2 linked regions of the Sus scrofa genome follow. The protein of the gene in region 1 purifies or fractionates together with the protein of each later gene. This does not show direct contact. Links are inferred from orthologs where the notes say so. Each region holds a gene or a part of one and is shown on either strand. Other genes may lie near its edges.

Region 1 (4,323 bases):
AATTTTATGTTATGACAGGACAAGCGTATTTTCTAACATGCACAAAGTAAAGTTTGAACTATGAATCCCTGGGTTAACTAATAATTGCAGAGTTTAGGTTTTGGAAATTATTCTAATTTAACTTTTCAGTAACTGACAACTATGGCATCTCCCTGACAACTGGCATCTCGAGTAGTTATTATCCAATACTAACATTCTTTATTGTTTGCTATGGTTTGAATGTTTTTGTCCTCTTCCCATCCCATATTCATAAGTTGAAGTTCTAACCGCAAGGTGATGGTATTAGGAGGTGAAAGCCTTTGGGGGTTAACAAGAGATGCTAGAGAACTAACTAGCTCCTTCCACCACATCAAGCCACAGTGAGAAGGCACCGTATAGCAACCAGGAAATTGGCCTTCACTAGAATCTGCCAACACCTTGATCTTGGACCAGTCTCTAAAACTGTGAGAAATACATTTCTATTGTTTATAAGCAATTGAGTTTATGGTAATTTGTTATGGCAGCTTGAACTGGACTAAATAATTCTTACCTTGTTGGATGAGAGAGCACTTATTTCCTAAAAATGTGTATAAATCTTAACGCCATTAAAATACAGTATCTTGGGTTACATATATTGGAAATATAAAGTAAGTCCTGAATCAAGTATCAAACGTGCTATCAAAAAAAGAAAACTTGTCAATAAAAGATGAGATTCTCTTCCTTTCAAAAATGTTAATCCCCGAGTTCCCGTCATGGCGCAGTGGTTAACGAATCCGACTGGGAACCATGAGGATGAGGGTTCTATCCCTGGCCTTGCTCAGTGGGTTAAGGACCCGGCGTTGCCTTGAGCCGTGATGTAGGCTGGAGACGCAGCTCGGATCCCACGTTGCTGTGGCTGTGGTGTAGGCCGGCAGCTACAGCTCCGATTCGACCCCTAGCCTGGGAACCTCCATAGGCCGTGGGAGCGGCCCAAGAAATCACACACACAAAAAAAGACAAAAATGTTAATCCCTGAAAAATAAAAAATAAAACCACACTGAATGTATCAAGTGTAGTAAAATGGTCAATGAATTCAGAAATATATCGAAAATGTTTTAGTCTAACAAACATACATAGACCATTGATCATAAGGCACAAAAAACAGATATTCGAAAAAATAAAATAGATGATTTTGGTAGTGAAATTCTCCGAATGCAATGAGAGAAATACACACGCTCTTCAATCCATCATGAGGCTTTTACTAAAGACCTAATACAAGTCAACCTCCACCACAAGGCGTTGAAGACCTAAGTAGGTGTGTTTCTCAGCGCCTTTCGTGCAGAACGGAGGCTGGGTGGGGTAGGAGCTCTCCGTGGGGTAGTTCTTCAAAAAATGGTTATTTCCTGAAGCAAACGCCCTGTTCCCTGGGCGAGCAACCAGGCAATGACAGGTACAAAACAGCTTTAAAGACTGGAAGATAAGAGCCGAAATGCAGCACAGAATGCAAACCCTTCGGTCCTCTCGTGTCTCGGGTCAGTGAACCAAGCCAGTGGTGCCCACTTAGACTGGGGTCTACCTTTAAGACCTGGAGGGGAGGCGGCCGGCCGCTCAGAAACGGTAGCAGCCTCATTTGCATAAGCACCCAAACACTGCTGACGTCACCGCGCCCGAGTGCGGACCCCGCCCCGTCTTACTCCACTATTTCCACCCGAGGGCAGAGAATGGAAAGGCGGAAAGGAATGCACCGCACCGGGGAGCGCGAGCTGCAGGGCTTCCCTCGCCGCGAAAGGGCGGAAGATGCCGCTTCTCTGCATAACGGAAAAGAATTCCCGCCACTGCAGCTCTGAGCCCGAGCGGGTCAACCTGTCTCCAGGACAGCTGGGGCGGGTTTTGATCCATTCATATTTGTAAGGCGGGTATGCGTGAGAGATGAGACTGAAAGTCTATGCCTGTGCTCAATTTCGTCCTCTGTCCAGGCCATGCACGAGCCAGCCGAGTCAACGAAGTCTGAGATTCCAGTTCTTCCTACCCCCTCCTTTAAAATCCCAGCACCAACACCCTCACGCCACAGTCTCAAATGCTTGGATGGGCAGAAACACACGGGCTGTGCTTTCTTGGGCAGTCATGTGCCTTGTGCGGGAGGAAGGCCCACTTCTGGACCATTTCTCGCAGGATGCCTCGGCAAAAGCGAACTGGCGTCACGTGAACACACACCGTCTTGGGCAAATGCCTTCAGCAGTTGCAACAGCAACCAGAAGCGAATGAGGAATAGGTTGGCTCCTCTCCCCGCCCCACCGCCCACGCACACGAGGTTCGGCTTCCTCCTCACCTCGAACCTTGAAAGCGTCTCGATCCGGTCCCGACCCTCCCAACTTTCTGACTTGCCACGTCGGGCCCCACCCTTCAGCCAACCCTGCCTTGACGTGGGAAGAACTAGTCTCTTGGGGATGCTGTGGTCACGACCAAAAGGAAGGATGGCGGCACGTTTCGACCCATGTGCTTTCAATTACGCGCCGCCTCTAGGCCCCGGGATTGTGCACAGGTGCACTACCCTGAGCCTGAAGGGTCTCCCGAAGAGCTCAGCCTCGCCTTCTCGGGGCTCTGGGGCCTCCCTGCCTCCCCTCACTCCTGGACACAGCCTGAGTCCTTCCCAGGAGAGCCAGCCATCAATTCCGCTCCCTTCCCGGGTCCCGGGCTCCAGGGTGCCAAACGGTGAGCCCCACCCCAACCTAAACCGTGCCCTTAGTGGTAGGAGCGTGTCCTCACCGTTAGCGTGTGTTGGTCGGGGGCCTCTTGCTGTTTCCACGTCCCGACAGCAGCAGCAGCAGCAGCAGCAGCAGCAGCAGCGGCAAAAGGGTCTGGTCCAGGTGGCTGCGACCGAGGCCGCGAGGAGCCGGGTGGAGAGAAGCGGCGGCTGGCCAAGGGCCCGGAGGGCGGGCAAGGAGCGACTCGTGAGCGCCCGAGTGTCGGCCAGGGAAAGAGCACGAGATGCAGGCGCGCGGGTGCGTGCGCGCGGGTATGTGTGAGTGTGTGTGAGGGAGGGTGTGACGGAGGCGCCCACGTGCCCGGCCCGCCCAAGCGGCGGCCGCCGACAGGCTGCGGGGGAGGGAGGGAGGAGGCTGCGGGCGGCTGGGGGACGCGAGCCAGGTCGCCAGGCCCCGCGCCGCACCTCCCCGCCCCGCCGCCCCTTGACGCAGAGGCCGCTGCGGCTGCCTCGCCGCGTCGTCCCTGCGCCCCGGGCGGGGGGCGGGAGGGGTTGGGGAAGCCCGCTTCCAAGCCAGCAAACCGAATCCGCCTGCCATCCCGTCCTCCCCCAACTCTCAGGGCACCTAGAGGATGGGCACCCGTTACCCGCCCCCTGCCGCCGCCACCACCCGCCTTTGTCTCAGCCGGATAACAATGGCAGTGGTCCGACCTGACACCCTCTGAATGTTTTCCCAGGGTCCGTCGGCGACTGAACTAGAGGAGGGAGGGAACCCCAAGAACCCTTCTCCCCAGCTCGCTCCCTGGGCCGGCCATTTACATCTCTTGCAAAAGGAAAGCCCGCTGGGCATTTGCTTCTCCGTCCACCGGGGTCCCGATAGCGGCCAAAGTTTCTGGCCGCATTTTGAAAGGCTGTTTGAGGGAGCTGGTCCTCCCCCTATGTTGGTGTCTTAGCATCCAACTCGCCTCCCAGGGGTCTTATTCCTAAAGGAAGCCTGACCTCCCTCTTGGAGCAGTGAAGCCATCCTCTTGAAGCCACGTGGAGAACTCCTGAAACATACATGACTGAGCACAGAGCGTAGCCGACTTTGGAAAATGGCTGAATCTTCCCCCTAAGCAGGGCGTATACTCTAGAAATTAAATTGTATGTCCTTAAACTCTGCAATTGGGAAGAAATGCAAAATGAACATACAACATATTGGAGCAGAAAGGTTTAGTAATTTGGTGAAGGAGTTTTCCATTTCCAGATGACTGGGTAGTACCATTAAAAAATACATTTGTGCACCTTTAGGCCTTCCAACAGTCCCTCAGATGCTGACCGTTTGTATCCAATTAAGGCTGAATTAAATAATAAGGCCATTGGAGACAGGTTTTTCATGCAGTGAAAAATCTCCTGAAAAGAAATCACAAGACCTAAATTTCAGGTCAGAACTTTGCTACTAATCCTCAGCTTTTAATGCAGCCAAGAGAGCTTTTCCTCAGTCTCTTCCAAACCCACCTTTAAAGCACTTTTTAAAGAAAAAAGAAAAGAGGGGAGTTCCTGTCATGGCTCAGCGGTTAACAAACGCCACTAGCACCCCAAGAGGACGCGGGTTCGACCGCTGGCCTTGCTCAGTGGGTTAAGGACCGGGTGTTGCAGTGAGCTGTGGGGTAGGTGGAAGA
Region 2 (3,259 bases), on another chromosome or scaffold:
AGTCAGGTTTGTTACCCCTGAGCCACAACAGGAACTCTAAATAAATAATATTTAAAAATTAAAAAAAAAGAATTAAGATGTGCGGCCATCAGAGGGGATGGGGTAACACTTGAAGTCACAGGTGCTTAGGGCAGCACAGGGTTCACTGGGGCTTGGGAAGGAGGACGGAGTACAAACGAGGTCAGGATGCTCAAACAAATCTGGCTGTGAATTTCACTTTACTTCGTGGAATTTTCCTACAGCTGACCCCTGGAAGACTTGTGGACCGAAGTCTGTCTTTAGCCCGAGGACTTCCTGGCGGGCTGTGTCTTAGTTTTGACTCTAGAGGCCAGAACAGTGCAGTGGGCTCAAGCAGGGGTGTGCTTGTAGGTGAAGCTCTTGATGGCATTGAGTTCACTGACTAACCTATGATCCGTTCATCATCATTAGAGAGTGCTTAGTAGACACTCGTGCTCAGCTGGGTTAAAATTAAACAGTATGAAATGAGCAAGTTCAGGGTCTGTGCCCTCTTAGGAGTTAAAATCTAAAACCCTGGATTAGGAGTGAGCTAGTGGCCCTGAGAGCCTAGCTGTCTTCCAGCTCTTCCCGCCTCCTCCTCTGTGTGGTCCAAAGAAGGGGAGGCACGCAGAGCCCTTGTAACCAGGCGGGACTCTGTGGTCACCACACTGGAGAGAAAGATTCACAGGCTCTGAATTAAGGAGTCCTGCGTACGTAGACACTATTACTGGCTGAATGCAATTTAGGTTTTTGTTGCTTGTTTTATTCCGAGTCTGTTTTGGAATATGGAAGATTATAAATACTTGAAAGAGGACTTCCTGTTGTGGCTCAGTGGTTAACGAATCCGACTGGGAACCATGAGGTTGTGGGTTCGATCCCTGGCTTTGCTCAGTGGGTCAAGGATGCGGCGTTGCTGTGAGCTGTGGTGTAGGCCAGCAGCTGCAGCTCCGATTTGACCCCTAACCTGGGAATCTCCATATGCCACAGGTGTGGCCCTAGAAAAGGAAAATAAGTAAATAAATAAACACCTGAAAGATAGTGCTTTGAATGAAAACGTGATGTGATAGACGTAAGATTAGATTTGAATGACTTTTTTTTTTTTTTTTTTTGTCTTAAAAAGACAAAAATTTTAGGGCTGCACCCTAAACCTATGGAGGTTCCCCAGCTGGGGGTCTAGCCGTTGCTGCCGGCCTTTGCCACAGTCACAGCAATGCGGGATCCAAGCCACATCTGCGGCCTACACCACAGCTCACGGGAACACTGGATCCCCAACCCGCTGGGCAAGGCCAGGGATCGAACCACAACCCCATGGTTCCTAGTCGGATTCGTTAACCACCGAGCCACGATGGGAATGCCAGTAGATAAGCCTTTTAAATCACTGCTAGGAGGACCTTTTCCTTATTTGTGTTCCTGTCCTCAGGGATGGAGGTCTGAAGAGAGCCAAGGTGAAGGACACCTTTAAGGAAGAGCAGCAGAAGAATTACAGCAAGATGATCGTGGGCAATGGATCTGTCACCTCCGAACTGGACTGAACGCCCGCGGGGCTTTCCAGAGCCAGTCCTTGGAAAAGGAATGTGCCGGGGTTGGGGGGAGCAGGATGGGCCTCGCTTGGTTTTACCGTCTTTGTTTTTATTGTTAGTCTTTTCTACTGGGGGATGATTGTCTCTGCCTCTTTACGCCAGAGGCAGAACCCAAGGTGCCCTTTTGGCTTTTGTTGTTGTTAGAGCATTAGCCTCCGGAGCTGTAAGGCCGTTGACTGAGTTTAAACAGATGCTGCCTTTTGTAAAACTTGATGGTGTCTTGTGGATTGAATGAAATCTTTTATTGGGGCAGGCAGTGGGAAGTGCCTCTAAAACACTTTTACTGCTGGTTGTGTCTGGCACTCATTGATAGGGTGAGCCTCACAAGAGTACCCCAGACTCTTTGCTCACAGCCAGCGTGCTGAGCCCTGTCCTCCCACCCGCTTCAGCCACTGACACCGGGATCACAGGGCCCTCCCAGGTTGCTGTCAGGGTTTTGTGCCACGCAAGGTTGAAAAGAAAGGACAGCTTTGCGGCCACTTGATTGGAAAGTCGAAAGGAAACGTAAATGTTTTTAACTAGCTCTTTAGAAAAAACATACTATTTGAACTTTGCCAAAGAAAAGCGAGTCTGAGTTAACTGTGTATGCACATTTGTGTGTTGGCAACTTGCAGATAAACCTATGTCAGCCAGCGGTGGGCGTAAAGTTTTTAGTTTTCCTTGTTTGTATGCTAAAGATCTATACCTAAGGCCTTTCCCATCTACTGATTTGTTTGATCTTGTAACCAAACCTATTTTCAAATGGGAGGAGCCTTTTATAATGACAACAGATTATACCGACTCAAGCGGGAGTAAGAACAAGGGAGTGAGGCGTGGGGCTCCCCCCTCCCCCGCCCTTTGCTGTTTATTTCAGGACTTTCCCAGTTTCTGCAGCCGGAAAATAAGGGTAGAATTACTTTTTGGAAACTGAGCCTTAACCTTTTAAAGGGGACAGTAAGTGTTTCCCGACTCGACTCCGTAGCGTAAGCGACGTCTGATGCCCATATGATACCATCGGGGTGTTATGTCTTCAGGTAACCATCTACAAAATGTGAAACTGTCTTACAGTCGAATATAAATAAAGTCTATATTTCTAACCGTGTCGCATTGTTTTCCCTGCACCTCTACCCTCTGCTGATCTTAAGTAGCTGAAATTCTTTCATTGCCAACAAGGGTCATTTGTTTTTCAATTCAGTGCCATAGTTCGATTTTATTGGACTGGAACAGCTGGGAAATGAGAAACATAAACCGCTGCTTTTGGTTTGTTTTTTCTTCTTTTTTAGCCTAGTTGCCTGGACTCTGACCCTGTGGACTCCGTCTTGGGCAAAGGCACAGACTTCACTTCTTTTGCAGGTGATCCCAGGAGCTCTGCCTTAACTGACCGTGTGCACAGGTAGGTCTGCCACAGCACTGTCAGCGTGTATTCTTCTCCAGCTAGATGGAGTCGACCCCAAAGGAAAAGTTACGAACAGGTGACCTCCACGGTCAGCTGCTCTTCTCCTCTCACGCCCCTTCCATCTTTTCCCTTCTTGCTTTACGCTTCCCCCCATGCAGACTCTTCTGGGAGTGAGCTTGACCGAAAATCAGCAAATCCAAATACGCATGTCGGGGTGACTCTTTGTCTTATTTTTTTGGCAGAAGATTTCTTTTTTTCTTTTTACTTTTTGTAGTCAATATAGCTTGAATTAATAAATCCATTTTGT

Evidence for each region.
Region 2: the proteins of SLC6A15 (region 1) and GPAT3 purify together in Homo sapiens (co-immunoprecipitation; 3 studies listed by BioGRID and IntAct, counting the BioPlex papers as one, with this or other methods). This does not show direct contact. The link is inferred for Sus scrofa from reciprocal best matches to the Homo sapiens genes SLC6A15 and GPAT3.

Annotation. Positions count from the first base shown.
Region 1 is NC_010447.5:97,091,755-97,096,077, reverse strand, and holds the start of SLC6A15 (sodium-dependent neutral amino acid transporter B(0)AT2), read right to left. Parts: upstream 2,882-4,323; 5' UTR 2,725-2,881; exon of another isoform or gene 2,360-2,724; intron 1-2,359.
Region 2 is NC_010450.4:134,911,892-134,915,150, reverse strand, and holds the end of GPAT3 (glycerol-3-phosphate acyltransferase 3), read left to right. Parts: intron 1-1,417; coding exon 1,418-1,529; 3' UTR 1,530-2,658; downstream 2,659-3,259. UniProt on the Homo sapiens protein: Converts glycerol-3-phosphate to 1-acyl-sn-glycerol-3-phosphate (lysophosphatidic acid or LPA) by incorporating an acyl moiety at the sn-1 position of the glycerol backbone.